Linked DNA regions of Struthio camelus. The protein of the gene in region 2 interacts with the protein of the main gene of each other region in a pairwise test. Links are inferred from orthologs where the notes say so. Each region holds a gene or a part of one and is shown on either strand. Other genes may lie near its edges. The genes, in order: NELFA and PRR22.

What was found.
Region 1: the proteins of PRR22 (region 2) and NELFA interact in a two-hybrid assay, tested with the Homo sapiens proteins (2 studies listed by BioGRID). The two-hybrid records come from large-scale screens. The link is inferred for Struthio camelus from reciprocal best matches to the Homo sapiens genes PRR22 and NELFA.

The regions. Positions count from the first base shown.
Region 1 is NC_090945.1:77,948,314-77,956,897, forward strand, and holds the start of NELFA (negative elongation factor A), read left to right. Parts: upstream 1-5,179; 5' UTR 5,180-5,325; intron 5,326-5,611; exon of another isoform or gene 5,612-5,814; intron 5,815-6,061; 5' UTR 6,062-6,074; coding exon 6,075-6,326; intron 6,327-8,584. UniProt on the Homo sapiens protein: Essential component of the NELF complex, a complex that negatively regulates the elongation of transcription by RNA polymerase II.
Region 2 is NC_090967.1:4,124,372-4,133,194, forward strand, and holds PRR22 (proline-rich protein 22), read right to left. Parts: upstream 3,536-8,823; coding exon 3,481-3,535; intron 2,562-3,480; coding exon 2,512-2,561; intron 2,274-2,511; coding exon 2,195-2,273; intron 1,942-2,194; coding exon 1,037-1,941; 3' UTR 943-1,036; downstream 1-942. Other genes in the region: DUS3L (tRNA-dihydrouridine(47) synthase [NAD(P)(+)]-like), read right to left, coding at 4,276-4,348, 5,990-6,118, 6,215-6,403, 6,715-6,790, 7,646-7,742, 8,391-8,501, 8,590-8,655.

The DNA.
Region 1 (8,584 bases), on a different chromosome or scaffold from region 2:
ATCCTCTAGCTCTATATGAGTACTTCTTTGGAAAAAGAATCACTCAAACAAAGACCATTAGCCCAAACTTGGCTTGAACTGAATCACCACCCTGAAGCCCCTAAGTGCTTCCACTGAAAAAAACCCCCACAGTTTGCTGGCCACCTGGACCCTCCTCTCTATCACACTGACTAGTTGCTCCTACAGCCTGATTCATTGGTGTTCTGGCTTCTGATGCACTCCCACAGACACGTACAAAGAGCAGACCTATGCCTGCACAGCCAAGCTTTAAGCTTCAGTGTGGTACAGTACTCAGGTTCTGGTTTCATTGTCCCAGAAAAAGGAGAACATGCCGTCCCACTGGAATTCTGCCCAACATGCTGCACAAATACGTAAGCAGGTATCAACAAATGAAGGAAACGATTAGAACATAAGCAAATACTGCAATAAGTGATCTCTATTTTAATAAGTGTAAGAAACACATCAGCAGGAACTCTGGAAAGTTCACGGCATCTGCAGCTACCACTAAAAGCAGGAAACTGTGTCTGTGAGAGTTACGAGCTTGTAAATTCACCTACCTGTGTTATGCACCTCTCCCAACGTTGATGCTGACCGGGATCCAGAGCAAGCAGAGGAGGACTGTGAAATCCAGGTTCTCCACTGACTCCTAGGTCTGGAAAGGGTTTCAGCCCTGCATCTCTAAATCTCCTAAATCACACCCAGAAGACCCAGCTGTATCACACGTAGACTCAAACAGTGCAACAGGATATGTATGATACAATACAGCTTTATGGTAAGACTTAAATAACGTAATTCTTGTCAGGCTGTAAGAGTGTGTCCTTCCTTTTTCTGCCTCCTGGGCTTTTGAGCCTTTCTCCTACTGCTCAATATGGGACCAATGCGAAAGCATTTACAAGCTTTCAGTCCTCTTTACTCTTTCTCCCTGTGCTGATGCTGTGGCCCATATGGTTCAACGTCTTGATCAGAGGCCTGGACAATGACACAGAACATTTCCTTAGCAAGTTTTAAGGACACCAAGTTAGGGAGAGCGGCTGACACGATGAACAGCAGAACTTTATTCAGAGATACCTCAATAGATTTCAGGATTAGGCCAACAGAAACCTCACAAAGTTCAATAAGGCAGAACAACCTCAAATCAAAGCAGTCCGTACAAATAAAGTCCTGGCAACTCTAGGAACGGACACACTAACACCACGCTGATGAGCTACTGATAGTGACAACTGAGGATGTGGAAAAATTAGGTTTCCAAACAGAGAAGGCTGCGTTTCCTCAAGGATGGGAGCTGCACATAAATATGCCACTGTTGCAGCTCTGCAGAGGCTTCAAGGAAATTATCACTGCTGATAATCTTCAATTATCAGGCCTCATTAGCCACTACCACGTCAGGGCCTACGAGTGGCAGTGTATGAAGTGAAACTGTTCTAGAACAAGATTTAAAGCAAACGACCACTTGATTTCCACCTCTCAAGGGCTGTCTTCATGGGCCTTTATCATCCTAGGTTTTAAGTCCTACACCATTTTGAAGTTTATTTAAAAAAAAAAAGAAAAAACATAGAATTGTGTAGCTGAAGTCCTAAGTAAGAGGGTGGGACGGTAATGTAAACATAATCCTAGACATAGGTAACCAGATGATAAACCCTTGCAGTAGCTTGCATCATGTCACATAAATTCACAAGAGAGGAACTAGCCGGTAAACTTTTCATAGCTACGAAAGTACTTTTATTTTTATTTCTGATAGAATAGAGCCATATCCGTTTCAAAAGACTTTGCCTAGCAGGAAAGGTAACTGGTTGTGTCACAGCAGATGCAAGAGGTTACCACAAGTAAGCTGAGCACTTGACTTGAGGAAGTCAAATAATCTGTTTTTGATGGAGTAAATTCTGAGAGTCACCTTTCAGATCCCACTGCTACAGCAAAGAGTTTTAAGACACGTCAAATAAACTCAATTTTGAATGACTGGTTAGCTTAAAAGTGCAGGAAAGAAAGACAGAGGTTTTGATTTTGTTTGTGTGTAGGGAAAAGGCCACCAAAAAGCAATACACACCCTTGTATTTAACAAGTAAAATCTGCTGAGATCACTCAGACAAAAGGAAAATGCAGAAACTTATAAAAAGCAGAGTTTAATGAACTGAATGAAAATAAAAATGGTAATAAATACCATTTTATGGAACCAAGTGCAGCTTAATGATAATTTAATTTATATGTAAAGAAAGTAATACAGTGTTTCCTTAAGACGGTGTGCACCTGAAACACACTGACAGAATACCTCTGTCGCTGGCTGCCATAAAGGATAGTAGCCTGACTGTCAGTCACTCTGTTAGCTCCAGTGACAGACTGAAAGGTCTTAACTATGCAGAAAACTTAGGCGTCAACCTGATACCACATGATAAAATTTGTCTTCTTATTATGCTTCTAAAACTTAAAAAAATGCACTTTAAACAAAGTATGGAAGCATTGAATGTATTAAACGTTTGCAGTGTTCAGATCGCCAGAGTTGCACAAAGGGGAAATAACGTAGCACGCTAAAGTAGCATTACATGTAAAGTAGCATTACAAACCTAATTAGAGTTTTTAAAAGCTCAGTTATTCAGTCTTAATGGAATCCTTTTAATAGTGCGTGGGGGTTTGGGTGTACTATATAGTACTATGCTATACAGCCAACTGCTTTGTCTACCTTCTCGGGTCAGTCCCTGTCATCACAGTATGAATCATAATCTGAAGCACTGCTGGCTCAGAAACTGTCACAGTTGCAACCGCAGGATGCCAATGGGAACTTAGTGCCACTGCTAATGCTAATGATATGTTTATTGCACACGCTTCAGTGCTTTCTAAAACACAGTAAAAGCTGCTGCTTCCCAACTGAGAACTCAATGCCAGCACCGCTCTGAACCCTCTGCCCGTCAGCGTTCCACTCCTCGATTTGGGTGCCCAGCTGAGATGTGCTGTTGCTTCCCCTAAAATAGGAAACTTCTAGGCATTATCCCTGTAACTTCCTTCTGAATATACACAGCTATTCTGAGTCTGATAGCTAACACAGCAGGCTGCCCTCACTGATGCAGCACTAGTTCATCCCAGCATATATATTTTTGGACAGGCAGTGAGAAAAACAGCAGGTCCGGAAATCCCTGGAGCACGGATTTTGGTATGAGGTAAAGAGTTACCTTTCTTGAAACAAATATAAAGTGGATTGGAAGACGTGACTCTTTGGCTGTATCTGCTTTTATGTGAACACCGTCACAATTGGGGAAGTGAATCTAGATTGTCTCCCTGCGATCTGTCTCATAGCATGCTCTTAATATTTCTCAACAATTTAATATCCAGTATTACAAACTTTGAATCAGGGACTTGCAACTCAGAGGAGAAAATATCTGCGGACAGTTATCTGCGTAACCCAACGTTATGTGGGATATCAAGCACTTTCAGAGAACTCAAGTATACTCCATTAACCTACAGGTTCGTGCATCCATGAGGAATGAGCACTTTGGTATTTGCCATATTACTCTGAAAATCACTACCCACACTAGACAAAATCTAACTGAAAAATAAATAAAGCTTTATTATATTCAAACAGAAAGTTAATCTACTAGTTACCAGACAGGACAAAACCATGATCTTATAACTAGCTGGCGTTTTGTCTTAATCTCCCTAAGCTCTGCATGCCCACTCAAGTCAGCAGCTGACAAGCACAGATTTGCAGGTGGTAGGACTGGAGCCACGTTTGCTATATAAAACCTTATATTCCAGATACACCTCAGAGAATAGACTCTCTTTTGGGGGTCACCCTTCAGCTAAGAAAATAAAAATAATTACACCAGAACAGACTAAATGGCCACGCTGCCCACTGCTTTCACCCTTGACAGTGGGCAAAAATAGACGCCCCAAGGGAGCATGTAACAAAGAAAGTATGTAAAAAGTACTCCCTTACCTTCCATCAGTGTGCAGCTTTGGCATCACCTGAGCAAGACGGTACCTAATCCCATACAAAGTCTACCAGAACAAAGTTACCTTTTCAGGAAATGGTCCGTCTATATGAGCTGGTAGAGAGAGGATGTACAATTCTACTTGTGGCACTGTGGTGCTGTAGAGTATTTATCAGCTCTGATGCCTAAAAAACACTTATACCAGCTCTCGGAAACAGTTTAATTCTGTGTGTTAGCTACCGCCTGAACACAATTAGCTGCAAAAACTACAGGGTATTCTGTGATTTGCTTTCTCCAGCCCACCTCCAATAGGAGTTGGTTAGTTTTCTCTTCACGTTTGAAGTTTTCATTGCTTAGCTAATTTTTTTCTAGTTGCAGTATCCCATGGAATATACATTTTCAGAGGTAGAAAACAGAATCAAAGGTGAGACACTGAGATTATGCCTCACCAGCCGATTTGGGGGATTCTGTCACAATTGTGCCACTTAACACTTTTTACTTTCACAACACTTTAGCAGAGTCCATAACCTTCTGAAAACTAGACCTAATTCTGTCAGAGGCTCTATAACGTACAGGAATATACACTCTGCACTTTGGGTAATCTACAATCGGAAACTCTCTCTCCTACCAAGAAGCAAATAGTTCCAATGAACTCTGTGGGATGTCGCACTGCAGTTAGGCACATGCTTAGCTTAAGTCTTAGCAAGGTTGGTGCCTACTTTAAACAACTGGGTATGATTGGCGAAAGCAAAGTTCTGGAGTTGGCAACAAGAATGTAGTAATTACTCCTCAAAACAGTGTTGAAGAGTCAATGTAAAGCTCCTCAGCACCAACTGCTCAGCTCGACAGGTTGTAAACAACCTCCTGATGTAGGAAGAAAGTTGTGAAGAAAACGTTTTCCTTCAAAAGCTTAAAACAGAGAAAGAGAACAAGTGAATGCGCTAGGCACTCCTACCACAGCTCTTGTGCTTTCATTTCAATGAGCAAAGACACTAAAATGAACTCTTTATGCTGTACCTGAAGAACTTGAAATCTTCTGAGATTTAGGTAACTGATTAATTTTTCATATTTAAATAACAATGAGCTGAATCACGAGGGAATGAGCATATGCACAATAACCCCTAAATTTCAGAGTACCTACTGCTAGCATTACAGGCGCAGCGGCAACTTCCTAAATCTCAGCAGCACCCAGCCCAGAAGTCCCTGGGGGAAAACGATGAGAAGGGCAGTTAGCTCTATTTTGGTCAAATCATAGCGTTACACAGAGATTTCATCATCCACCACCGTGCTGGCAAGCTCTGCGGGGTGGTTTCAGGCGGGAGGAAAGCCAGGGGCACACGGAGGAGCAGGAGAGGAGGCACCCCGCACGCAGAGGTGGGTGCACCTCAAGGCGCCATTAGCTGCAGTAAGCAACCCACTCTGCTGGCAGGAAAAGTGAAAAAGGGGGAGCGGGGTGGACACGCTTTTTCAACACAGGCCCTGAGGGCGCTGAGGGGGCCCCAGCGGCTGCCGCCGGGGAGCCAGGCTGCGAGCCCGGGGGGGGGGGGGGGGGGAACCGGGCCTGAGGGAAGGAGACGTGGTGCCACCGGCAGCTGTGCCAACCCCGCGGAGCGGCCCAGCCCTCCCCTCCGAGGAGGAGGCAGGGCGGCCGAGCGGGGCCCTCGGCCCTTCTCCCGGCGCCGCCAACGGCCGCGCGGGGCCAAGCAGGCGGCTCGGCGGGCGGGCGCCCTCCGAGGAGAGGGGCGGGGCCTGGCCTCCGCCTCGCAGCTGTTCCGCCCGGCTCCGCGGCTGGCCGGGCGCCCCAGTCCCGCTCCGCGGCCGAGGGGAGTCTTGGAGGAGTTAGGGCAGGGCGTCGGGAGCAGCAAGCTGGAGCTGACAGAGAAGCTGCCCCATGGTGAGGTTACGCCATCTTGCGATACGGCGGCGGGGGGGGGGGGGATGGCGGGCGCCATTTTGCATCTGAGCGAGACACGAGAAGAGCCTTGGTGGTTTTCTCTGTGTGGGCGCCGCCATTTTAGGTTACGGAAGAATCTCCGCCTTCCCTAGAGCGAGGTTCCCTTGCAGGGCGCCGCCATTTTGGGTTACGAACGAGACGGCGACCCGCAGGGGTCCTCACTCCCCCTCCCCCTTCCTCCCTTTAGGTGTCTTCATAAAATGCCCGTGGAGAATCCCCTCTTTTTTCGCCCCGCTCCCAAGATGGCGTCGATGCGGGAGAGCGACACTGGCCTGTGGCTGCACAACAAGCTGGGCTCCACAGACGAGCTGTGGGCGCCGCCGAGCATTGCCTCGCTGCTCACGGCTTCGGTGATCGACAACATCCGCCTCTGTTTCCACGGCCTCTCCTCGGCCGTCAAGCTCAAGCTGCTCCTGGGGATGCTGCACCTGCCCCGCCGGGCAGTGGATGAGGTGAGGGCTGTGGGTAGGACGTTGCGCGGGAAGCTTAACCGAAACGGAGTGTGGGGGGGGGGGGCGAGGAGTCGGAGATGGCGTGAGGGGAGAAGGAGGGGGGCACCACCTCCCTCCCCCTCCTTTAAATGGAGTCGGTGGCGCCGGGGCGCGCTGCCGCCCGCCTCCCCCCCCCCCCCCCCCCAACGGCGCGCGACGAGCCGTTAGCGCGGCCGCGCCGCCCCTGAGGGGGAGCCCGGCAGCGGCCGCTTCCCCAGGGCGGGTGGGAAGTAATTACCGCCTTCCCCACGGGTATCCCCGCTCCTTCCTGGCAGTTTTGTTTATTTTTTTGTTCCCCCCCCTCTGTAGTGCGGTGCGTTGAGGCCCTGCTTGGAGGCTGGGCCCTCAAAAAGGTGCTCAGGTTTCTCCCCCCCCCGGTTAACGGGAGTGGAGTGGCGGCGTCGCTGCTGCTCCTCTTCCTGCTCGTGAGGGAATCTGTGGTTGGCGCTAGACTTCTCGAAAGCAGGGCTCGGGTTTCAACCTGAAACCTTTCTTAACGTGTCCAAGCAGACTTGTAGCTTTAGGACTATATTTTGCTAGAGTTTGGGGACTTCTGGTGCCTCTTTGGGGAGGGGGGAGGGCTTCTCTGAGCCAATGCTTGCTCTAGGTTTAGGCCCCAGAGGGAAGATTGGCCTCCAACAATAACGTGGAGAAGATCTCATTTGCTTTCTTTAATACTGGCAGCTGTGTGGATATCCACAGGCGAGTATCTCGGATTTAGGAAGGACAGCAGCAAGTGCTGAAACTTTGGGAATGGAAGATCTGGGGTTTGCACTGAGCAGTGTTTTCCCCACCTTCTTGTAGTCAGGACTTATTGGAGAAAATTGCTGTGGATTTTTGCCTCCCCTTACCTTTCTAGGAAGTACTTGTTCTTTCCTTTACTGCCGTGACCCCAGCTAATAATCTGGCTGGCCGGATTTGGATCTGACTTTGCATGGAGTCAGCATAAATCCAGCAGAGTTTATTCGCTTGGCTCTGGACCGTGTGTCATCTGCCGTTGCCTTGTTCTTACCAGTAGGCAGATACAGATATTTGGGGTAATAATTGGAGAAGGATTGGGAAACATTGAGTTTCTTCAGCCAGGTTGGAGGAACTCCTGTTCTTTTATCCAGCATGTGTGGTGCTGGTTTCTGATAACAGTTTTGGAGATAGTGAGTGGTTTGGGCTTCAGCTTTTTGTGTACAGTATCCTCAGTTGTGCTTGTAGCAGTCCCTTTCATGGGTAGGTTGTGCCTCTGTTGCTTACGCTTAATAGAAGTATATACTAGACATAGTGTAGGGAGACTGTGCATAGTTCAGATTATTGTATGCTTTACTTCTGTGCACTTCTAAGCTTAAAATGCAAAAGCATTGCTTCCAAGCAGTAGGTTAGTGTATGCCAGGATCTGTCTTGCCAGATATATCTCTATGGTTGTTACTCTGTTACGCGTAACTGCAGTTGCTTTTAAAAAGACACTTTTTGCTCAGCATATGCTTCCTCTGTTTTTAAAACATGTTTATGCCTTGTGCCTGTCCAGTGCACAAGCATTCTTATTTGGGCGAGACAAATGCAGTTTTGCTTTTTAGTTTTCTACAAACAAAATAACCAAGGCTGGAAAGGGGGGTAGGGAACGACCCCTCAGTTCCCACAAACTCTAAGTATGTAAAATTCTTCTCAAGTGCTGTGAAAATCCACATAGCTTGGAAGAAGAGTCTTGCAGTATTTGGTGAAAGTTAACAAACTAGTGGTGTTTTTAGGCCTAAGAGAAGGGAATTTTAAAAAAGCTTAGGGTCCTTCATAAGTAGTACTCAATGCCAGCTCTATGGTGAGGGAGCAGCAGTTCAAGTCAACTAAAACACTTGGTTGAAATGCTGCAGGAGCGCTCACTGGACTTGCACTAAACCTAATTTTTGTTGTTATTTGTTTAAGACTAATTCAAATCAAGGAAGATGGCAGCAGGCCACTTACTTAATCTGTGCTTTTGTTAGCTGTGGAGATGAAGTGTCATGTGAAGAAGAGCAAGCTGGTTTCTGTGCCCTTTAATGTGTTGTTAAAGTGATCAGTTGTGTTCCAAATGTAAACACTTTTACTGCTATTGCTAGAACAAAAAAAGAGTGTTGTGGGATTTTTCAGTTCTCTGGTAGAGTTGAAGTCAGTCATAAATCCAGTCTTTTAGCTGTAAACAGAGCATGCTTGTTCTAGAGCTAGGGTTTTGCTCTCTTTCCCAGTCCTTTGCAAAG
Region 2 (8,823 bases):
CGCGGCGGGGACCGCCGAAAGGCGCCTTGGCCGCGTTGGCACAGAGTTGTGGAGCTCCGATGCAAAATAATCAATAAAGAGAGATGATTCCAGGCACTTTCTGGCCTGTTGCCGTGATTTTTATTTTATTGCACTTTTTTTTTTTTTTCCCCTCTCTCTTCCCCTCCCTGGTTTTGAGGATGCCAAGAGCCCCAGCTAAGCATGACGGGGGGGGGAAGGTCCCTTCCCTCCGGGCAGCTCTGTCCTTGGGGTACGCAGGTTATTTTGCTGCAGCGGTGAGAAGCTGGGCGACGGGCTGCGAACTGGTGGGAAATAAGGGATTTGTTTCACGGAGGCTTTGGAGCAGCAGGGCTCGGCACGTTGCCCCCACGTTGGAGGTGAGAGCGTGCAATGCTCCATGCAGAAGTGCTGCAGCCCTCGTCCCCCACGTCTGCCCTCGTCCCATGGAGGGCTGGTGACACCAGTTCCCACGAATCTGCCCGGACACAGCCGTGCTGGCTGCTCGGGGGGAGGATGAGGATGCTCCGAGCCTGGGGGGGCTGCACGCACGAGCAGGGTGCCCGGCTCCTTCCCGGGGCACGCACCTCTAAACGCGTCAGTGCGTGGTGATAGCTCTCCAGGAGCAGATGCTGACGCTATGGAAAGCATCCTCAAAGGCACCTCCGCTGCCCCTTTCCCGAATCCCATCTGCTCTTCCCTTAATTCCCCCCCCCCTTCTTTTTCTCCAGCTCAGCTCTCCTGGTCCCTGCGCTCGAGGATGCTCCTGGGGCGGCCGCTGCTCTGCTCCCTCCTCGCCGGGGCCAGGGACCGGCGTGCCTGTCCCCACGCTGGCACCCGCTTTTCGGGGACCCCCGGCAGCTGTAACGGGGTGACTGGTGAAAGGCCCCGAGCGACAGCGGGGAGAGGGCTGCTTTCCTCCAAGAAAGGTCCTTTTCTGCACGAATCGCTTTTAATAGAAAAAGTAAGGAAAACACCATCGTCCCTCGGGAAGTGCCATCGCCCGCCCCAGCCGTGTCCCCGTGTCCCCGTGCCGGGGTTAATCCCGCTCTCCCGGCCGGCTGGGGGACGCCGTGCACGTGCTGCCGGCCCGGCCGCCTGTTTTTGGCGACGAGCCGTTTTCCTCCGTTTCCCGTCGCGTTTCTTGGGCGCCGTCGGGGGGCTCCAGCCCCGCGTCCCAGCCCATCTCCTCGGGGGTCACCTTGATGGCGTAGAAATAATCCATGCTGAGCACGGCGCCGAGGATCTCCGGCACGTTGTAGTCGGAGGAGAGCAGCTCCTCGGGCAGCCAGAGCGAGCCGATGTCGCGGGCGGCCGCCGCCTCCTCGCAGAGGAAGAAGCCGTCGGCGCCCGGGCGCTCGCCGAGCTTCAGGACGCTGCTCAGCTCGTCCTGGCCCAGCTCCGCGGCCAAGGAGCAGTCGAAGAGCTTCATGGCGTCCTCCAGCAGGACCTTCTCGGGCAGGTCGGCGGGCTGCCGGGCGGCCGGCGCCGGGCTGCCAACGGCCGCCGGGCCGGGAGCGGCGTTGGGCGTCGGGGCTGGCGAAGGCGTCTCGCCGGGGACGGGGCGGCCGGCGGCGAGCTGGGCGGGCGGCCCCGGCGCGGCGTCGGCCACGGGCTTGAGCCGCCCTTGGATGTGGCCGTAGCCGCCGCAGAGGGGCGGCTCGGCCAGGCCGAGCGGCGGCGGCGGCAGCAGCAGCGGGGCGGCGCGGCGGGCGGCGGGACCGACCGCGGCGCCCGGCGGGGTCACCCCTTCCTCCGGCGGCGGGTAGGCGACGGCGTAGCGGGGCAGCGGCTGGTAAGGGGCGAACGGGTCCGGCTGGCCGGCGGCGCGGAGGTACCGCTGGGCGTCGAGCAGGACGGGCGGCTGCAGGAACCCCGTGGCGGCCCATTCGATGCGGTAGATGCGCGGGTCGAAGAAGCAGCCGCAGGGAGCCATCTGCAGACCTGAGAAGCAAGAGCCGCGTCTCGAGCGCGGGGTCCCCCCTGCCCCCTCCTCCTCCTCCTCCTCCCGCGCCGAAGCTCCCGGCTTGGCCCCCGCCGGGGTCCGGCGCGGTGCGTGGCGGGACGGGGCGGAAAACCGTGGGAAAAGGGAGCTTGGGCAGAGGGAAGATGGGCGAGCGCCAAATTATAAGCAACTGAACCGGGACGGATGGGCGCCCATAGGCTGGTCGAGGCCGGGCGCTGGGTGCCCGTGTACCTGCCGGCGGGGCCGCGAACGCCTCTTTCTCTTGGCCCGGCGGCTGGTAGAGGTTGGATGAGCCTGCGGGGGGGGGCGGGGGGAAAAAAATCACAATAGAAAATTCGGGGGCGGCCGCGTGGCACGGAGCCGGGGGGGGGGGGGGGGGGCTGGATCCCACCTCCGGCCGAGAGGCTTCGGGGCAGGCCGAGGGGCAGGGCTGGGGGATGCGCCATGGCCGGGGGGGCTGGGGGTGCCGGCGCCGTTGCCGTGCCCGGCCCGTTCTGTTTGGGGGGGGGGTCTCTGGGGAAGGAACGCGGCGGCAGCCGGCGTTCCAGCTCCGGGCAGGATGGTGCTGGACGCCTGGGCTCCCCGCTCCGCCTCGCTCCTAGGACCGAGCCGGACCCCCCCCCCCCAGGTAGTTATTTCCCTGGGGGCAGCGCACGGAGCTGCCTTGGGCTCGGCGGGTGATTTAGCACCTCGGCGGAGGAGCGATGCACCCTGCGGGAGGGCAGGCGGCGGGGTCGGGGCAGGGGGGGTCCCGCGTCCCCCCCCATGCAGTGCGGCGCGCGCGCCGGGAGATGGTGCATTCGCCCTGCCGCCGCCGCCGGCCGCGTTCCCCTCCCCGTCCCCGGCAGCCGACCGCTCGGGCTTCGCAGAGGAAACCGCAGCCCGGCCCGGCTCTGTGACGTCGGCTCGCGGTAGCTGCTGCTGGCGACTAGGATGCGACCGAGCCATGATGAGGCTTCGGGGCTGTGAAGAAACAGGCCATTTTCACGCCTCTTCTTTTGCTTTCTTTTTTTAACTTGTGCAAGGCTGGGGCATCCCGGAGGGCGCTCGGCCCGGGAGGGTCCCGCGGGTACCACCTTGGCGACAGCGCTGCCGGGGGGACGCGATGTGCCGGAGTCAGCGTTGCCCCGCTCCGCTCTTCGCCCGGGCTGTTTGATCCGCTCTGTCCTCTGCTGCAAGCGTTTCGACGGGCGCTGCCAGGGAACTTGCTTTTCCCTTGGCGGAGAGGCCACAACGGATGCGACAGAAGAGGCCGCTTGCTTTTTCAAGGTATTTTTTTGTTGTTTCAAAGTTCCTGCCTTCAACACAGAAGCAAAACTGGCTGCACTAAAACAAAAGGCAGCTACTTTTAAAGGAGGAGAGATGGCAATCCCCACCGAAGATCCTAGTTAGGAGCCATGGTTTTGGGGTCCCGTGCTCTTTCCTCCTCTCCAGCCACGGCCGCACGCGGGTGGGAGAGCAGCTGGGACGAGCCGAGGCACTGACGCCGCTCTGCAGCCCCGGGAAGGGTCCGGCACCCACGTGGCTGAGCTGAACCACGGACGTTGAGCTGTCTGGTTCGTGGTTGTCCATCACGGACGAGCTGCACTCAGTCCTAGTGCCGCGTAGCTGCGTTTATTTAAATGCTAGAGACCTAGAGAGGAAAAGGGGCCTGAGGGAGGTAGGAAAGGTCACGCAGAGTCACTCAGCAGCCTGCTTTCATCCAGCCCTTGTTCGAGCAGAGCTGTGAGCTGTTTCAGGCTCTCGGTGAGGGAAAAAGCTAGGCCTCTCTTGAGGATGTCACCCAGCTGCGTGACATCCAGGACGACAGGGTATCTGCCCTGTGCACTCCCAAAACGGGACTGGACTCTGCAGAACATCAGACTCTGGGACGCTGGGGCTGTTTGTGCTCTACAGGACCCCAGGGATTACATGTTCCCTCCTCGTACTCGGAGGATTTGGCACTACCGAGGACGTCCTGGTACGAAGAGAGGCCTCTCGCTCCTGCCATGTGAATGACATGTGGCGTGGATAGTCAGGATAACTTCAGTTGTACACTGGAGGCCAAAGATCTCTCCTGGCCTGCATCCTGTTAATTAAACAGATTGCTCTCTGTTAACGAGGCACCTCTCACACTTGCACAATCCTGCAGCCAGGCCATCTGATGCTTAACTTGTGGCTGGGACTGACACTTGGGGGCCTGAAGGCAACCACACTTCTAAAAACATATAAATTTATTTAATTCCCAGGCACAGCTGAGCAACCTACTCCTCAGCACACGCCATCCCAAAGCCTCCTCTCGACTCGATGCTGTAAGAAAGGTCCCATCGGTTCTATCTGTAGGAGTTTGCCTTGTGCTTGGGCAGGAAGGTGAAGTTGGCAGGTACGGGTCCCAGAAGCAGCTCACTGCAACAAGAGAAAAGATTTGTGTTCAGTTCATCACAAGCAGCTGGGCCACCAAGACTCAGCTGTCACAAAGCCCCTGGGGGCTCTGCAGCGATGGTATGTGTAATCAGAAGTATCAGACCAAGCTTTTACTGCCCTGAAACTCCGGGAGAAGGGTTGTTGTACACAATCCCCTCCATAGGTGCCAAGCTTTAACCCTGCTGCAGGGACAAAGCCCCCAGAGATGGGCGCTGCCTTCAGTCTATGAGGCGTCACCTAGAGTCAATGCCAACGTGGGTTCCTAAGTTTGGTGACCTGAATACCAGCCTCATTGCTGGAAACAATGCACCTAAAATCATCACGAGCCTTTGAAAAGCTCGTCCCTACCTCTGGCTGTGCTTGCGCAGAGCCAAAACCCTAACGGTGCCAAAAATATTAAGGTCGGATCCGAAAATGATGTAAGCCAGCTCTACTGCAATCAGATTTATCCTAGCTTAAGACTTCAACTGTTTCACACTTTGGAACCCACATTGTGTTTTCAGTGCAGATTACTTTTCTTTATAGTCAAGGAGGCGTAACATATTTCCTGGATGCTGGTTCAATACAGCATCACTAAAACTTTCCATAAGACATGTCAGCAGAGACTATCCCAGTAGGGCACACAATTGCATAACAGGACTTTGTGAATCTATGGCACAAAAGCAGAACAGTGTGTGCTTAGAGAATCCTGCTTCTGGTTAGTGTCTCTTTAACATGAGCTTTAGCAAATAAACCTAAACTGACTTTTAAAATTGTTCTTTTAAGAGTCTGTTACAAGGCATTCCAAAGGGTACAGGTTACAAAGCATAGTGGACCCAAAAGCTGGCAGGTTCTGCTTGAAAAATGGCATTTAAAAAAATCCGGATCAAAACTCCGTGTACTTGTAACTTGGTTTTAGGCAGCTGTTCCCATTACTAACAAAATGGATGAGGATTAGCAAAACCAGAGAAGGTTGTAGCCATGCTCTACTTTTGCTAATCTCCATTTCCATGAGATGGGAAATAGCAGCTGGCTACGCTGCTCCAACTCTCATTTCAGCTGGCTCTGGGCTTGCAGAGTCAATTTCCAGCCACCGTCTGAGGACTCGTAGATGTGGGGAAAAGCAGTTTCCTATGCTCTGTTACATCAACTCAGAAATCAGACTATGAAAAAAGAGGAAAATATCCAGTTCTCCTAACTAATTTCACAAGTTGTTTGAAAGCCCTTGAGGATGGGGACTGCTCCCCTGCTCTGTATGGGCCCAGCAGAGCAGGGTCCGGGCAGAGCACGGACATCTCCGATGCTACAAAAGCCTGAGACGTCCCATCACTGCGCTCTCCTCCGTTGATTCCTTCGACTGTCCCTGGATGAACAGTGTCATGAGAGAGGTCAGCTAGTCTAGATTTGTGCTGGGTACTTGATGACCTGCTAAGGCAGATACCGGGAATGAGAGAAATCCCAAGCTCCGTTAAAAACCTTGCTGAAGTAAAGTACTGGTTAACCCTTCCTGGTTTCTTACAACCTCTTAAACTTGTGGAAATGAGAGATCATCCCATTTTAGAGGATGCACACGGGCACGGTCACTTTGTGAGGCTCTGCAATGTCCCCTCCTGGAAACCAAAAAGAAATTCAGTGCTTTGCTACCTTATTTTAATCCAGTCGTCCACATTTTGGCTTGCCATTAGTGTCTCCAGATAGTCTCTCCCCATGTAGTAAGGCGGTCGCTCATTGATTTTCTGAGGTAGGTGTTCTAATAAGCCAACTGGAATATACCTACAATGCAAATATAAATGCTAATGACACCGTGTGCTATTGCTCAACTTGTACAGGCCTTCTGTGAAAACGATCCTACCAGTTGGGGAGAATTACCTGCACAGAAAAGAGAGCCATTCCAGCAGGAACTTCCTGGTTTTCTCGACTCCCTGAGTATCAGACCCCCAGTGTTCAAGGCCATAGTTGGTGAAGTCTTTGAGGATATCAAATCTCTCACTGGAGGAGATATCCCAGTGTCTCTGTTCCTTAATTTCAGTGAAAATCCATGGTTTGATGAGTGCCCCTCTGTAGTCAAACAAAACGGGCATTGTTATTCACCTGACTGCATGCTTCTGGCGATGCCAACTAATTTAAGAGACTTTCCAGCTCTTATTTGCCAGCCAGTGTGACTTTAAAAGCTTTCAATCTCGATAAGAAGCTGCTGTAAGTTCCCACAGATACAAATGACTCCACTGAGTTCCAAAGAGTAGTTTCTTCAAGAGGAAACTCTTCCTGTGTTTTGAGTTTGTTTAGGCTTTTTCTTTTTATTTATTTTTTACTCCTGCATCAATAGAGCCCAGGGAAATAGAAGTGAATGGGGAAATACAGTCACTTGCCTTGCAATCATAATTCCTGAAACACCCATCTGCATGGCTTGATTAGCATCTTCATAAGATAAAATATCACCATTTCCTGTGTCAGAAGGGAGGGAGAAGCCAGAGGTCAAAGTGATGCACCAGGGCAAGTCAGAATGAGTGAATCCAGGCATGGGATAAAATTTAGAACGGCTGTAGTGCCTAAGAGCCAGGCTGTCCAAACAGACTCTGGGACTCATGCTTAGAGACTCCCAAGGCTATTTCTGATTAATAGTCCCCTTACAAGGAAAAGAACTCTCTCTTCCTTTTGCCCCAATCCCAACTACTACCCTCAAGGTTTAGCTGGGACTGTCCGCGTTATGGTGTCCAAAGGAGGGAGAAAAAACACTATAAATGAGGTGCATTATGTGTCTTACCTGGCCCTTCCCCTCCTAGCCCTGCTCAGCGTTTGTTAGACCTGGCCCTGGAGATCCAAGCGCTTGGGCAGAACGGAGCTGCCCAAGAGCTGCTGGTTGCACATGGTACAGACTGGGAAAAGCCCGGAGGGACTTCAGGCAAGAAAGCTGGTGCCCCAGACCTGGCACGCACGGCACGCAGGGGAGGCAGATTCCTCCTCACCGTTCTTTTGCCCAAATGAAGTCCTGCCACAAACGACCTTGCTCTGAAGTGGCTCTGCTGGACATGATGGTGTCTGTCTGCTCGCTCTTTCTCTCAGAGCAGAGCTGCACTTAAAAGCAAAGCAGGCAGTCGCTGCTGGGACAGCTGGGCCACCTCCACGCTCGGACAATGCTCCGTGGTGTCGTCACCAGCCATACCGATGCTCCAGCCTTTCCCATAGACTGCATGCACTTAGGGGCCTTTTTTTTTTTCTCCATCGTTTAAACAAAACATGCAGCATTTTCAGTCTACTGAGATGTGATCTCAGGCAGGATAAAACAACAGAAACACCTACCAAAAAGAGGCATGGGGTTTGCTATTTTAGCACATTCTGCTATGTAGTCCCAGTCGGCAACCTTTGTGTACCGTTGTTCCCTAGATCGGCCGTGAAGCTAGGAGAAGAAAGCGGCAGTGAGACCCTCACCCGAAACGCCCCAGAGAAAGCAAAGCAGAATGGGAGCACCAAAGCAATGTGCTTCGAGGAAAGGCAACACCATCACTTTGCGGGAGAAGGATCTTCCTAGACGTACACCCCAGCTAGTCGCTAACAGAGACGCCTGCAAAAGCGGTTAGCAGAGGTTTAAAGTGTGCTGGATGCTTTCTGCACTATGTTTCAGCTATTTACAATCCAGAACAAGAAGTGATGATTCACAGTAAAAGGGAATACTCACTGTGGACAGGGACTACCCACCCTGCTGCAACTGAGACGGCTCCACCCTTTTTTCCTCAACCCTGGAATAATGCTTATTTGGCTTAAAAGCTCTATTTCAAAGCACTGCAGGAGTCGCCCCCTTTTGTAACGGATACAAGACTTGGGAGTACCTTGGACAATGCCTTAAAAACAAAAGCATCTGCATTTCTTCTATTATTAGCAGAAATCACTAAAAGGTGCCATGCAGCCAAAGGTGTTTGAAAGCACTATTCCGCTGTGGGGGGGAGGGGAAGGTCACCCCCACATGGCGCTCTAAGCTGACGTGCAAGCAAAGCTTCCCAGATACCAGCCAACAATCTGCCAACAATCACAGCAAGTATCCTTGTACCGTGACCATGGATGCTCCCCACTCCCGGATCCTGGGGATTATTTTATGAGCCACGTTAATCTTTTCTTGCACCCCAGTCCGTATCTTCACAGTCAGCGGGACGTCCAGCACCTGCAGAAAGGGCAGAGTGAGGCCAGGCTCAGGCAGGAGCCTGCTGCACCAGCTCATCTCCTGCTGCTGGCAGGATGCTCTGACTCACCGAGTTCATCCCTCTGACGATCTGTTCAAACTTGTTAGATCGGGTCATCAGAGCACAGCCCCCTCCCTGTAGGACAAAAGGTGACACAGTCAAGACTTTCTGCCTCTTTGCATAGTGAAGAGCCTACTGAAAGCTGCTCGGACAGCAAGCAACCCCCTACTCAGGGGATGCAGGTAAGACTTGGGAGCATCCTGAGCCAAGGGAACTCTTCAAAACGGCACCTGGTCCCTTCCC